2 linked regions of the Struthio camelus genome follow. The protein of the gene in region 1 purifies or fractionates together with the protein of each later gene. This does not show direct contact. Links are inferred from orthologs where the notes say so. Each region holds a gene or a part of one and is shown in the gene's direction. Other genes may lie near its edges. The genes, in order: DTX3 and RNF114.

What was found.
Region 2: the proteins of DTX3 (region 1) and RNF114 purify together in Homo sapiens (affinity purification with mass spectrometry; 3 studies listed by BioGRID and IntAct, counting the BioPlex papers as one, with this or other methods). This does not show direct contact. The link is inferred for Struthio camelus from reciprocal best matches to the Homo sapiens genes DTX3 and RNF114.

The regions. Positions count from the first base shown.
Region 1 is NC_090969.1:2,297,240-2,304,545, reverse strand, and holds the start of DTX3 (probable E3 ubiquitin-protein ligase DTX3), read left to right. Parts: upstream 1-4,079; 5' UTR 4,080-4,173; intron 4,174-5,382; 5' UTR 5,383-5,444; coding exon 5,445-5,457; intron 5,458-5,890; coding exon 5,891-6,573; intron 6,574-7,035; coding exon 7,036-7,253; intron 7,254-7,306. Other genes in the region: PIP4K2C (phosphatidylinositol 5-phosphate 4-kinase type-2 gamma), read left to right, coding at 399-496, 627-723, 802-942, 1,022-1,168, 1,423-1,461, 1,801-1,914, 2,091-2,340, 2,446-2,549 and 1 more. UniProt on the Homo sapiens protein: Regulator of Notch signaling, a signaling pathway involved in cell-cell communications that regulates a broad spectrum of cell-fate determinations.
Region 2 is NC_090959.1:9,898,405-9,906,317, forward strand, and holds the start of RNF114 (E3 ubiquitin-protein ligase RNF114), read left to right. Parts: upstream 1-4,710; 5' UTR 4,711-4,798; coding exon 4,799-4,947; intron 4,948-5,484; coding exon 5,485-5,635; intron 5,636-7,258; coding exon 7,259-7,365; intron 7,366-7,913. Other genes in the region: SPATA2 (spermatogenesis-associated protein 2), read right to left, coding at 1-41. UniProt on the Homo sapiens protein: E3 ubiquitin-protein ligase that promotes the ubiquitination of various substrates. In turn, participates in the regulation of many biological processes including cell cycle, apoptosis, osteoclastogenesis as well as innate or adaptive immunity.

The DNA.
Region 1 (7,306 bases):
GCAGCACTGACGGCTCCCCCCATCCCCCCCCCCAATTTGTCCCCGTAGCAGCCCCCGGACTGGCAACGCAGTGCCCCCCTGGACAGCCCCGGAGGAGGTGGGTGGCCCCTGGGCCCCATCGCATGGCGTGTGCCCCCCCCCCCCACCATGCCGCTTGCTGCCCCCCGGTAACGGCGCTAACCCCCGGCCACCTGCGGCCGCCACTCATTAACCCGCTCGTTAATCCAAGCGCCTGCCCGAGCTGCCCCCCGGCCCCAGCTTGCCACGTCCATGCGGCGGGCGCCGGTGCCCACCCGCTGGGAGGACTGGGGTCCTTGCTGGGGGCTCCTCGGCGGGGTCACGGAGGGTGGCCCTGCGCAGCGGGGGGGACCGGCGTCACCCGTCCCGCTGCCCCGCAGATCGGCGAGCTCAGCCAGGTCCCGCTGCCCGTCATGCTCCTGCCCGACGACTTTAAGGCCAGCTCCAAAATCAAAGTCAACAACCACCTCTTCAACCGGTGAGCACGGCCGGGTGGCAGCTCCGCGGTGGTCCCGAACGGGGCCAGGAGACCTTCCGGAAAGGGGGGACGAAGCCCCCGGCTGCCCTGAGGAGCTCCTTGTCCTCATGCTGGTGACCTCCACCCGCAGGGAGAACCTGCCCAGTCATTTCAAGTTCAAGGAGTACTGTCCCCAGGTCTTCCGCAACCTCCGGGAGCGCTTCGGCATCGACGACCAGGACTACCAGGTGGGTCCACGGTGCGGTGGTGGCGTTCGGGGCCGCGCCGGCGTCGCCCCGGCCCTGCCTGACGCCCGTCCTGCCCAGGTCTCGCTGACGCGGAGCCCGCCCCACTCTGAGGGCAGCGACCGGCGGTTCCTGCTGTCCTACGACCGCACGTTGGTGGTGAAGGAGCTGTCGAGCGAGGACGTGGCCGACGTCCACAGCCTCCTGTCCCACTACCACCAGGTACGGGGGCGCGGTGGCCGGGCAGCGAGGAACGCCAGGGTCACCCGAGGGCCCTGATGGCACCCACGTCTCCCCGCAGTACATCGTGAAGTGTCACGGGACCACGCTGCTGCCCCGGTTCCTGGGCATGTACCGGGTGAGCGTGGACAGTGAGGAGACCTACCTGCTCGTCATGAGGAACATGTTCAGCCACCGGCTCTCCGTGCACAGGAAGTACGACCTCAAGGTAACGGGGCGCCCACCCCATCGCCCCAGCCTTGCTGTCCTGCCACGGGGGCCCCCCCTAAAGCTGCTAGAGGCTTGGAGCTGAGACAGAGCCCCCAAATCAGCCCGTGTCCTTGGGTCATCCATGCCTCCTGCTTCTCCATGCTCTCCATCCCTGGGTGGATTTAACCAACTCTGTTGTCCCCTCCTTTGTCCCCTCTGCCAGGAGCGCTGATTTTTCCCCCCAGCCTAACACAGCTTCTGCTTTTCCTCCAGGGCTCCCTTGTGTCCCGTGAAGCCAGCGACAAGGAGAAGGTACCACGGCACAGTGACGTGGGCAGGATGGTGCTGGGAGCCTCCAGCCTGGGGAGGGGGAACCGGGGCAGTCCCAGGCTCGTTATCAGCCTGTCCCCAGCCTCCACTTAACGATGAGGCTGCAGCTGTGGAGGGAGAGCTGATCCCTGCAACCTCCTGAGGAACCGTGGAGGCAAGGTGCCACCACGCTCGTCCCCAGGGAGTCCCTGTTATCCGTGAGCCTCCAGGGTCCCCCATCAGGGCGGGGAGGACCCCACTGGTTTCTTGGAGTGGGGAGGGGGCTCCCCACAGCCATAGTGGGACCGCAGGGGCCCGTCCCACATGTTCGTCTCGCCACAGGGCAAAGACTTGCCCACACTGAAGGACATGGACTTCCTGAACAAGAACGAGAAGGTCTACGTGGGCGAGGAGGACAAGAAGGACTTCATGGAGAAGCTCAAGAGAGATGTGGAGGTGGGTGAGGGGGCTCCAGGCCAGAGCCGTGGTGCCCGGACAGGGGCTGGGTGTTTGGGGAGGGGGTGGCCACCTCTCACTAGGGCAGTCACGAGGGTTGGTACCCCCCTCCCAAAAACCGGCTGCCGGCCAGGGGTTCTCCATGTCCCTTCCTGTGATCTCCCCCGTGTCGCCAGTTCCTGGTGCAGCTGAAGATCATGGACTACAGCCTGCTGCTGGGCATCCACGACGTGGCGCGGGCAGAGCAGGAGGAGGAAGAGGAGGTGGAAGAGGAGGAAGGCGGGGGCGACGAGGCGGGGGCCGCCATCGTGGGCTCCTACGGCACCTCCCCGGAGGGCATCGGCAGCTACCTCAACTCCCACCGGCCGCTGGGCCCCGGCGAGTTCGACCCCTATGTGGACGTCTACGCTATCCGGAGCGCCGAGGGTGAGCGGGGCATTGGGTGCTTGGGGGGGGGGGGGGGGCAGGCCGAAGAGGTGGGTGTGGGGCTCACCCACCCCTCTCCTCGCCTGCTTCCCCCTCCCACCCCAGGTGGCCCCCGCAAGGAGGTGTACTTCATGGGGCTCATCGACGTCCTCACGCAGTACGACGCCCGCAAGAAGGCCGCCCACGCTGCCAAGACCGTCAAGCACGGGGTGAGCCCGAGGAAGAGGATGGCCTCCTTTTTTTTTGGGGGGGGGGGGGCCCTTGGAGGGTCTGGGGAGGTTTGGGGCAGGGTCTGACCCCCCCCCCCCCCCAATATCCTGTGCTCTCCCGCAGGCGGGGGCTGAGATCTCCACGGTGCATCCCGAACAGTACGCCAAGCGCTTCCTCGACTTCATCACCAACATCTTCGCGTAGATGGGGGGGGGCCCGGGGCTGAGCTGGCCCCCCCCCCGACCTTCGCCCCAGGCACGGTGCCCCCCACCCCGCCTGCGAGCGGGGCAGCTCCTCCCCCCCACCGTTGGTGCCCGGTGGAGGTGGGGGGCTGCTATTCAAGTGCCTTATTTTACCGTGGGGTGGGGTGGGGGGGTCCAGCCCTGCCCTATGCAATAAGCTGGGGGCTGCCCCCCACACATGGGGCTGCATTGCTTCTACCTCCCCCCATGCTCGGGGGGGGGGCAATTGAACACTACTTGCCCTGGGGCTAGTGGGGTGTCTCCTCCTGTGGGGGGGTAGGAGGTTCCTCCACCCCCCCAAAAAGGGCTGTTCCTTTGGGGGGGGTGTCCCTGTGTTTCACTGACAGTCCTGGGGGTGTCCCGGGAGTAGCCCCCCCCTTCCCCCATTATGGGTCTGGTCTGGGGGGGGAGGATGGCGAGCCTGTGGGCCCCCCCGCCCCCAGTAGGAGTGGGGCTGGGGGAGGCATGGCCCTCTCCCTGTTACAAGTGGGGTCACAGTGTGGGGTTGCCCCCCCCCCCGTTATCAGCGGGGTCCTGGGACCTGTTCCTGCCCCCCCCCCACACCACACACACTGCACGGGGGACCCTGCCGTGCTGGGGGGGTAATGGGGGGGGGGCTGCTCTCCAGCACTGTATCCTAAGAAATAAATTATTGAACCAGCCCAGGCTCTGCCCCTGTTACCGGGACCCCCCCCCCTCCTTCTCCAGGCTCTGCCCCCGTTACCGGGACCCCCCCCCTTCCCTAGGCTGTGTCCCGTTACTGGGACCCCCTCCTCATTATGAGGATGCCCCCCTTTCTCTGGCTCTGCCCCCATTACTGGAACCCCCCCCCTTTCCCTCAGCTGTGTCCTGTTACCAGGACCCCCCCCCCTTCCCCAGGCTGTGTCCTGTTATTGGGACCCCCCCCCCCAACAGCCAGGCTCTATCTCGGTACTGAGCCCCCCCCACCTTACCAACGTGCTGCACCCCATTACCGGGACTCCCAGTTCGCTCCCCTCCCCCGCCCCTCCGTGCCCGGTTACCGGGACCCCGATACCCGTGCCCCCCCCCCCGTTGCCATGATGCTCCGTTGCCATGGCGACGGGCGCCGAGCGGGACCTGTCCCGCCCCGCTGCGTCCGCCGGTACCAGGCCGCGCCCCGCCCCTTCTCCCCCCCCCGCACACCGCCCAGCGCCGTCGCCATGGGCCCCGCCCTCGTTGCCATGGCGGCGGCGCCCCGCCCCGCGCGCCCACGTGATGTGCGGCGGCTCCGCGAAGAGCCTCCCCCCCCCCAACCCTTTCCCCCCCCCCACCCCCCCCCTCCCGGCCGCCGCCAGCCGCCGCCGCCGCCGCACCGCTCCGGGCCGCGCCGCCCCCGCCATGCTCCGGCCTCCCGGCTATGGTGGGTCCGCCGCGGGGGGGGCCCCGTCCTGCCCCCCCCCTCCCTCCCTCCCCTCGGGAACGGGCAGGGCCCGGCCCAGCTTCATTTCCTTCCCGGTAACGGGTAGGGCCGGGCCCAGCCTCTCCCCCCCCCCCCACCGGCGTCGTTGTCGTCGCTGTCCCCGGGTCCGGCCGGGCCCCCCCCCCCCCAGCATGACACCCCCTCCCCGGGGCTTGGTTAGGCCTGGCTTCTCCCCCTCCCACCCCTAATTTCCGGGCCCTATCTTATTCCTCCCCCCCCGCCCCATCTTGCCCCCCTCACCCCCATCCTGCCCCCCCCAAGGCCTCACCTTGCCCCCCCCATTTACTTCCCCCTCATACCCTTCCTTTCCCCCCTCCCCCGGGGCCCCGTCCTGCCCCCCCATCCTGTCCCTCCTCATCTCTTCCCCCTCCCTTCCCCTGGCCCAGCCTGACCCCCCCCTTGCCCACCCCCCCCGACCTGTCCTGTCCCAGCTCGGCCCCATCTCACCCCCCTTGTCGCCATCCCGTCCCCCCCCCCATATCTCTCCCCATCCTGCCCCCCCTCCGGCTCCTGTCCTGTCCCCTGGCTGTGTCCCCCCCCCCCGGTGATCCCTGTCCCCTGCATGCCACCTCCCCTGGCAGTGCTGGGGGGTGACCCCCATAACTGGGGGGGGGGGGCTACAGCCTCTCTACGGCCCCCCCCAGCAGTGGGGCCCCTGGGCGGGGGGGAATAGGGGCAGGTGAACAACCCCTTTCCCCCCCCCCCATCCTGGGGTCCTCCAGGGGTTTGGTGCCCCCCCCACCCCATCGAGCAGTGGGGTCTGGAGAGCGGGGGGCACCGAGGAGGCCGTACCTGGCCCCCCCAGCCCCTCTGTTCCCGGGGGTGGCGCTGTGCTGGGCCCGGCGTTTCGGGCTGTTTGTTGTTGTAGGGTCTCCTGGGGACACCGCGGGGGTGGGGGGCGTAGGATGGATTACGCTGCCGTGGTTGTTGTTGTAGGGTCTCCTGATGGGGATTAGCACCTGGGGGGGGGATATTTTCTCTTTAGGGGGTTCAGTGGGGCTGGGAGTTGGGGGGGCAGAGCAGTGTCCCCCATACCCCCCTCGGGGGAGGGGGCAGCGAGCCCTTCCGGGGGGCCCACATGCTGGGGGGTGGGACTTGGGGACAAGATCCAGGGGAGGGGGGCACAGTGTGACCCTGTGTCCCTCCCAGTCCGTGGCTCGTGGCTCCGCTGATCACGGCTCTGCTGGTGTTTCGGGCTCGTGCTGTCCCCCATGGGCTCACCAGGTGGGTGCTGCTGCCCCCCCCTTTGGGCCCTGGGACCCCCCCCCCCACCTTGGGCAGGGCAAGAACCTGGACTCCTGGGTGCTCCTGCGGGCTGGGCACGAGGGTGCCCCCAGACCCCAACCCCCTGCCCCTTCCTGCGACATCCCCTCAGCTTGCGGGTCCTTGAGAGGCCTCGGTGCCACCTAGGTGGCACCTGGGACATGTCCCATCCCATCCCATCCCATCCCCCCTGGGGAGGGTCCAGCGGGGGGTACCACAGGGCTGGGGGCACCCGGTGCCTGTTGAGGAAGCATCACGGTCTGGGAGGAGGCCTATGGAGGGACACCATAAGGAAGGAGCAGGCTGGGGACATCGTGCGGGAGGGGGCTGTGGCACCTCGCGGTGAACCCCACGCCCGACAGGCTCTGACACCATGGGCCTGGGCCCCCCCCAGTGTCGTTTGTCCTGTCCAGGATGGCGGCGTGCGGGGGGGCCACTAAGAACAAGTTGACGGTGTCCAAGCGGGTGTGGGACTTCTTGACCAAGGAGAGCCCGGCCAAGCTGGCCCGGCTCAAGGAGGAGACCAAGGTGAGCATCCTGGTGGACGGCGAGACCTCCGACATCTACGTGCTTCAGCTCTGCACGCCCGTCCCGGGCACCGCCAACGGCCTCTACCTGGCCCGCAAGGCCCTCAAGGCCCTGCTCAAGGAGACGGAGAAGGAGCTGAAGAAGGCCCAGCGCCACGGGGAGGTGGTGGGCTGCGTGGCCCTGCTGGACAAGAGCGGGCCCGGGCTTGGGGCCCGGGGACCGGCGGGCGGCGGGGGGCGCGCCGGCGGGGCGCCGGGGTGCTCGCGGGACGAGGAACCCGACCGGCAGTGTCCCATCTGCCTGGGCGAGATCCAGAACATGAAGACGCTGGAGAAGTGCCGACACTCGTTCTGCGAGGATTGCATCACGCGGGCGCTCCAGGTGAAGACCGCTTGCCCCATGTGCGGGCGCTTCTACGGGCAGCTGGTGGGCAACCAGCCCCAGAACGGGCGCATGCTGGTCACCAAGGACTCCAGCCTCCTGCTCCCCGGCTACGAGAAGTTCGGCACCATCATCATCCAGTACGTCTTCCCACCCGGCGTCCAAGGGGTAAGACAGCGCGTGCCCCCTCACCCCGCGTCGGCTGGGCACCGGGCACCCCGGGCTGGCGAGGTGTCCCCTGTGCCCCCAGCAATGGGGGCATCCCAAGTTGGTAGGGTGTCACCTGTCCTGTTCTGTGGCCGTGGTGCTACTGGGCATCCCCAAAGCTTGCTGGGCACCTCCACCTGGTTCTGCACCGCTGCCGCTTGGGCACCCTAGTCTGGTTGTGCGTCCCCAAAAGCGGCTGCGTGCCCTGGCACCCAGCTACGCCAACCCATCTGGGTGCCCCTGACGCCAGATGTTCACCTTTGGTCACGCTGCGACTTTGGGGGGTGTCCCCGACCCTGCTCTGGTGCCACGGAGCTAAGCCCAGCCTGGCCAAGCACCCTTGGGTGTAACCCCAATCCCTCTGGGTGCCCCCCTGGGGGCACCCCCGCGCCTGACGCCCCGTGTCGGCCCGACGCCTCGCAGGTGGAGCACCCCAACCCGGGCGTGCGGTACCCGGGCACCACGCGGGTGGCCTACCTGCCCGACTGCCCCGAGGGCAACAAGGTGCTGGGGCTGTTCCGCAAAGCCTTCGACCAGCGCCTCACCTTCACCGTGGGCACCTCCATGACCACCGGCCGCGCCAACGTCATCACGTGGAACGACATCCACCACAAGACCAACTGCACCGGCGGACCCCAGCTGTACGGCACGTGGGCCCCGGGGGGGGGGGTTGGGGGGCACAACCGAGTTGGGG
Region 2 (7,913 bases), on another chromosome or scaffold:
ACATACTTCCTAAATAAATCGTCTTTATATTTTGTATCCATTGAAATCAGATTTTGTCTCACACTTCGGCAGCTACCTCATCTCTTTCATGGTTATTCCACAGTAGGTTGATTATCTGGCATTAAGAATCTTCAGTAATGGCAACTCTTCTGGAATAAAAATTGAAAAAGACAAGTCATCACAGATGTCGATAGCATCTATTTGCCTCACAGGGTTCTATAAAATCATTCACAGTGCAGGGGCTCCCAGAACAGACTCTTTAGGGTTCTGAAAAAGCACAGGAGCCTACAGAAATGTTGGTGTCCTCCTTTTCACTGCTATTCTCTACTCCTTTCCCCAGTTAACTGTCTAAAACAGAGCACCAGAAAGCTAAATGGGGCAAGGCACCAAGAGTGTGATACCAGAAAATTGGTGGAAATTCAAGTCCAGATTGAGGATTCCTTGGCTAAGAGAACAACAGCGAAGGTAACTCACAACATAAGACCGAAAGACAAAAGCAGGGGTTTTTAGGGCGTCTTCTCTTTTTCTTTTATCGCGCCTTTTCGATTCAAACAAATCGTACAAACATGACGAGAATTGGTCACTGTTTTATTTCGTTTGCCCTGCACAGAGATATAAAGGTACAAAATCCCAAAAAGAAGTTTCTTTTTGCTCAGATTAGGAAAGCATATACTTCTCTTTTTGCTAGTGGCATAGGCTCGGCCCATAGAATTGAGCAGATTAATACACTTAGCCTTTCTACTTCTAACATTTTCTAGGCTTTTGAACACCACTCATTCTATCCAACGGCACACCCCGGCCATCGTGGTGCCGGCAGTACGCTGCAGCCACCCCCTAGAGAGCACATGTGCCCCCGAACACTGCAAAGTACAGCCAAAGCTTTAGCCAAATGCTAGTAGTAGCATTGTAACCTTTTCGATGGAAAGCTACAGCTACCAATTTTAACTGCTTTATTAGAACAGAGCAAAATCATTTCTGTGTTTATGTCATTTTGTTTGCAGGGCTGGTTGCTTTTACGTATTACTGACTATGCTTTTTCATCTCATTGAGTTCTTATCTCCCACACAGAAAAAGCTGGTAAGAAAATAAGCTTCCTAACATTACTTTACCAAAGCCAAGGTAACTAACAGGTCAACAGACTCCATCTAAATTTCCTGAAGAAATTGTGATCAGAAAGCAGATCACAGGCTTTATTTTTTTTGTACTGCTATTTTTATTTAAAAGACAGCACAATCCTAGTCCTTATACGCTTCCTAGCTCTAAACAAAAAAAGAAGAAAAAACCCCACACAATCCATTGTATCAGTTATAGTCAGTCTGAAACAGCATTTTAGAAAGACTTCCCACCCAATATTAATTTCAGCAGCCATAAGACTGCTGATTATTTTAGCAGAAGCCTATGAGGACATTGAAAAAAATCACTCTAAGTGCAAGATGAACTGAATGAAAGGAGCCATAACACAAATACATGACAAAAAAAAAAAAGGAAAAAAGGGTAGAAACAAGAAGGCCCAACAGCCTAGCAACTAATCTTGCTTGATGAGAGGATGTGCCTAACAGTAGCATCGTGTGGGAAAAGTTAACCAGCAGCTCAATTTCTGCTCAGAGGCATACTGCTCTTGGTCTTTGCACAAGCAGAAACGCACTGATGTCGGGAGAGAAGCTGTGAATCACAGGACACACGGGGTTCTAAATTAACATCTTAACACAAGGGGCAGAAGTAAGAATGTAATTCAGTCCTTTCCACAAAGCGCTCACTTCTCTCCCTCCCTCCAGGATTTTTCCCTCTTAATTTGTGTCAGACGAAGTCTGTGGACAAAAACAACACAATTTCTGTAACTTAGCGAGAACAGCTGTAGCTAGGCTGTACGAGAGAAGCGCAGACAGAGCTCTTCGCTTGGCACGCCAATAGCACAGCCTTAGGACAAGGGATGATCTTGCGTCGGTAAGGAGTTGGATTAAGGAGCAGCTCCTCCACCTGTAACGTCGACAGCTGCTTAACGAAACAGCTCAGACGTACAAGACGCCACGCTCGGGAAAGTCCCCGAAGGAAGAGAAAGCCCTTCATCAAGGCCTCACGCCCCGTGACATTCAAAGCCGCTGGCAGCTCCGGTCGCGACCCGCCGTTGGCGCGCAGGCCGGAGCTCAGGCGGCTGCGAAACGGAACACGACGAGCGCCAGGAAGCCACGAACCTCCGCAGAGCTGCGGCGCCGCCAGCAGCGGACCGGCCTCGCGGCGGCCCCCGGGGCGCAGGGGCACACAGCGCCGAGGGAGAGACGGGCCCGCCGCCGGGACGGGCAGCGCCGCGCCGCCTTACCGACGGGAAGCCGGGCCCAAGGCGCGCCCAGCGGAGGAGGCCGGAGAGCGGCCGGCCCGCGGCCGCCCCCGCGCCGAGCCTCGGCCCTCTCAGCCGGCGCGCAGCGCGGGGGAAGCTCGGGCAGCCAAACGCCGAGGCCCCGGAGCCGGCAGCGACCGCGGAGCGGCCCCGCTGCGGCACCGAGCCGCCGCCGCCCCTCGGGGGCCGCCGCCGCCCCGGCCCGCACTCACCGCCGCCGCCCCGGCCCGCCGGCAGGAAGCGCCCGGTGACCCGGATGTAGACTCCGCCCCCCCCCCCCAAGGCCGCGCTGCGCCCCCCGCCCCGCTCACCCCCTCCTCGCCGCTTGTCCTCCCGTCGCCGACCACGCGGGCGCTCCCGGTGGCGAGCGCGGAGGGCGACGGCGGCACCCCGGAAGTGGATGGCGGCGGGCGGGGGGTGGGGGGAGAGGGGGAAGCGGCGCCTCCCCCTGCGGCGGTGGGGGGGGGGGTCCGCGGTGTGACGTCAGCGGGCGGTGCGGGCGGCGGGGGGGAGGGGGCTCGGGGTGTCGGACTCCCCCGGCCGAGGGGCTCCGGGCGGAGGGACCCCCGTGTCCGCCCCCCGGACCCAGGGGACGGCCGGGCTGTGCCCCCCCGGGCTGTGGGACCCCCCCCAGGACCCCCCGGACCCAGGGGACGGCCGGGCTGTGCCTCCCCAGGCTGTGGGACCCCCCCCTAGAGCCCCCCCGGACCCAGGGGACGGCCGGGCTGTGCCTCCCCAGGCTGTGGGACCCCCCTAGAGCCCCCCCGGACCCAGGGGACGGCCGGGCTGTGCCCCCCCCAGGCTGTGGGACCCCCCCCCAGGACCCCCCGGACCCAGGGGACGGCCGGGCTGTGCCTCCCCAGGCTGTGGGACCCCCCCCTAGAGCCCCCCCGGACCCAGGGGACGGCCGGGCTGTGGCCCCCCGGGCTGTGGGACCCCCCCAGGACCCCCCGGACCCAGGGGATGGCCGGGCTGTGCCCCCCCAGGCTGTGGGACCCCCCCAGAGCCCCCCCGGACCCAGGGGACGGCCGGGCTGTGCCCCCCCCAGGCTGTGGGACCCCCCCCAGGACCCCCCGGACCCAGGGGACGGCCGGGCTGTGCCCCCCCCAGGCTGTGGGACCCCCCCCAGGACCCCCCGGACCCAGGGGACGGCCGGGCTGCGCCCCCCCGGGCTGTGGGACCCCCCCAGGACCCCCCGGACCCAGGGGACGGCCGGGCTGTGCCCCCCCGGGCTGTGGGACCCCCCCCAGGACCCCCCGGACCCAGGGGACGGCCGGGCTGTGCCCCCCCGGGCTGTGGGACCCCCCCCAGGACCCCCCGGACCGAGGGGACAGCCGGGTTGTGCCCCCCCGGGCTGTGGGACCCCCCCAGGGCCCCCCGGGCTGGGGAGCAGCCTAGGCGGGGGCGGCAGGGGGGTCAGAGCAGGGCGTTTCGGGGACCAGCCGCTCGGGGCCAGGCCGGCGCGGGAGGGCCGCGCTCGGCGCCCTTCGCCCCTTGTGTTTTAGGAGCCGGGGGGCGTTTGGCGCGCTCGCGCGTGGAACGAGAGCGGCTGGTGCCGCGGCCGCCCGCGCACCCAGCGTCGGGGGGACACGGGGAATAAAGGCCTGAAGGCGGCGGCGGATCCGCCCCTCGGCTCCCCCGCCAGGTGGTCACAGCCGCGAGGGAAGGAGAAAAGCAGCCGCTGCAGGGAATTACGCGTCCGTTCAACCTCGGCACGAGGCGTTTATGCCACGACCCTAACAGAAGGGATCGTGACGCCTTTATCGTTTTATAAACAGCTTCTGCGGTGCCCTGGCTTGCCCACCGCCGACAGGAGCTGCGTTGTCCTCCCGTTACCAGCTCGGCGCGCCCCAGCCGGCGCAGCCGGACCGCGAGAGCAAGGGGGAAACGGCACGACGCTCCCCGACCGCAAGATGCCGAAAACCGCCGGCAACCAACAGCGGCACCAATTAAACGCGGACGGCGGCGGCCTTGAGGCCGGGGGCGGGGGGGGGGGGGAACAGCCCGCGCCATCTACAATTTTTCACGCGGCCTTGCTCTAGCTGTTGGTAAAAACGCTCCTTTTCTCTTCCGCCAGGCAGAACCGCCGCCTCCTGCCTCACCCCGGGCCGCGGCCGCTCCGCAGGCCCGGGCGAGGCGGGCGGCCCCCGGCGGCGCTCGCCCTGCTGCCCGCGCCGCCACCGGCTGCCCCGCGCCACTGGCGGCCCTGCCCCGGGGCGCCCCGGCCACGCCCCCGGCCCCTGGGCACGCCCCTCCGGCCCCTGGGCACGCCCCCAACCTCGGGCCACGCCCCCTGCGCCGGGCCTCGCCCGCCCCCGCGGGGCGGGAGTCTCCTCGCCGTGCTCGCCCCGGCGCCGGGATCTGTGCTGCGGCTGCGCGCGGGCGGCTTCGCGATTGGCTGGGGGTTCGGGGCGGGGCCCGCGCGGAGGCGGAGGTCCGAGGGGGCGGTGGGGCCGCCGCAAGATGGCGGTGGCCGGTGGAGGTGGTGCTTCGCGCTCTCCGGAGCGGGCAGTGGCGGCAGCGGCGCGGCGGCACGACCCGCTGTCGCGCTTCACCTGCCCTGTGTGCCTGGAGGTGTACGAGAGCCCGGTGCGCGTGCCCTGCGGACATGTGTGAGCGGCTGCCGGCGGCGCGGCGCGGCGCGGCGTGGGGGCCTCGGGGGCGGCTCCGGGCCCGCGGGCCCCTTCCTCGACCGGGTGCCGTGAGCGGGCCGCGAGGCGGCGGGCGGGCGCAGAGGCCGCGGCGGGGGCGGCCCCGGGCCGGGCTCGGGCGGGCCCGGCTCCCGTAGGGGGAGGTCGGTGAAGCGGCCTTGCCCGAGGGGACGGGGGTCTGCAGGCAGCTGCGCGCTTTAGCCCGTTGTAGGGGCGCCGTGAGCCTCGCTTGACACAAAAACAGCGGCGCGGTGCGTTCGGTAGCTTCCCCCCACCTGTGAAAGCTGGTGGAGATAGAGATTTGTCGAAAATCTGATAATTCCGACTGTGATGGCCCAGACTGCACCTCCCGTCACACGGCACAAATGTCAGCCGGCCGCTGTCGCTTCTTGTGACTCCTTTATCGCTAATAACAGGGGGCATGGCAGGTCTCTGAGTGTTTTAATCGAGTTGTAAGGAGCGTCCTTCTCACCGCTTGCTGTTTTTCTCCCATGCTAGCTTTTGCACTCCGTGCCTGCAGGAATGTCTCAAGCCGAAAAAGCCTGTTTGCGGCGTCTGCCGCAGTACCCTGTCTCCTGGTAGCAGAGCTCTGGACCTGGAGAAGCAAATTGAAATGACGGAAACCACTTGCAATGGCTGCAATAAAAAGGTAGGAAAGCGTTTGAAAACCAAGTGCCTGAAGTGTTCCTGTTCAGTCCTACAGCTTAGAGGGAAGTAAAGTATTTGCTCTTCAGCTTTCTGCAACAACAGGTCAAATGCTTGTTTTAAGTACTACAGGCACTTTTTTTTTGTAAGTCGTTCCTAAATGTTGACGTTTTTCCACAGTCTTTATTGTTACCTCCCTAGGAAGTGAATTCTGAGTGTGAGATGCTGTGTTGGTTTAAAAATAATAATAAAATATTGCTACGAGGATGTCTGTGGGTGTAACGCTGTAAGGAAATGGTGAATGTGGTTTTAAACACTGAGAGCCTAGGCTTTTAAACAGAAGAACTTTGTTTGCTTCCTCAGAAATAGTTATGAGACAAAGCTGTCCTATATGAGCAGTATATTCCATATATTTTACTGTTTGGTAAAATCCTGCATATGAAACACTTAGAGGACACCCTCTTATCATTTACTTCCTCTTTGTAAGTTTGGGCTTCTTAGCATTGTCCCAATATACGGGAAAATATCTTGACAGATGGAAAGACAGCGAGAAAAGGTTAATTAGATGCATATTACACCAAAACTGCAGCTTTGTAGTTCATATGGTCCTGTATCTAATCCTCAGATTAATTGGTTCACTTGTAAAGCTAAAATCTTTAATTTAAAACTCATTAAAGAATGTCATTATGCTAACTGAACTTTTACAGCTCTCTTTTTATTAAAAAAACAAAGTTCCTCATCTCCTGCACTACTGCTGTTATATATTTCTCATAAACAAGGTGAGAGTATCTGTTCTGTTAGTTTCACTTTTGATTTCTGAGTAGTATCACCTTTTTTATTCTGGCTGATATAAAATTGCAGTCCCTTGACTTGTAGATTTCCTTACAGGAAATTTCAGTTTTCATTAGTGGGATAATGCTTGAAACACGATTGTCAGACTTGCACTTGGTTTTTGATGGAGGCTGATACATTAGCTATATCTTTATCTCGCATCTACTGCTAATCAGTATCTAATCCTCCTGAGTTATTGCCTATTTTTGTACCTCTTACTCCTCCTAAAAACACTGTTCTTTCTAGCTTGGATAGGGTTATTAAGATTCGGATCTAATTTAAAGCATGTTTGAAATCGATTGTTAGCCAGACTTCAAGCATAAAATGGATTTTTGCAAAGAAAAAAACCTTCAGGCTTTTGCAAGTAGAAATTGTGAAGTCAGGTTCGTCTCCGTTCCTTCGTTGTACGTGCTGCGTATCTGACAACGTTCTGCAGTACAGATCTTGGTGTAGATCAATTACAAAAAGCGAAGCTATTACCCGTATTGGCTCTTCTCCTGAGCAACCAGATAAACTGGCTTTATATGAAACTTTTATATTACATCTTAGGAAAAGTGAGCTGTCCTGAACAGCATGGTATTGGTAACATATTACAGGCAACAAAGTTACTGGTTAACTAGTACGTAGTCTTGACAGTTTTCTGTCTCATCAGCCTAATTGTTTTTCTGTTTCAGCATTTTCTATAGAAAGCCTATTTCTTTTGCGTATCGTTTACTTCTTCTGCCTAAAAGCCTGAAAGTGAAAGTGACTGCAAGTAGTTTAAACTGAGTTTGCTGTTTAATTGTTGTCTCTCCAGATGTATCTCTCAAAGATGCGTAGCCATGCAGCTTCTTGTTCAAAGTACCAGAATTATATAATGGAAGGTGTAAAAGCTGTAACTAAAGAACCCCTTAACAACACCAGGTAACTAGCTCTTCTCTTGACGTGCTATTTTTTGATACCACAAACTGGGCTGTAAATATTTAATCATTATGAAACTTAAAAATTGATTCTTGCTCTGAGAACAGTCCTTTTATCTTGTTTAAACAAAAGTTGACTGTGTTATGATGTGTCATGCAAACTGTAGAATACTGGAGTAAAAGCAGACTTTACCTCTTCACTCAGTTTGGGTGTTAATTCTTTTAATCCTCTCATATTGTTAAACTAAGCCTTCAACCTAACAACAGACTATGCACAGGCAAGCTGTTCTAATTTGTGATGTTATCCATGGATGTTTTAGTGCAAGATCAGGGTACTTAGTTAAAGGGGGGTGGGAGAGGTGTTAAGTAATAGTTTTGTCTTTCTGTCTCTTGATTGTAGTAACTTACAATGAAGGGAAGTTGCAGTGAGCCGCATTGTAGCGTGTTGGGTGTGTGACTGTGCCTTTTTAAAAAATATATATATAAGAAAGCAAACTGATAAATGGCATTTGTAACATTTGTAAGAGAAGTAGTTTTGTATAAATATGGATG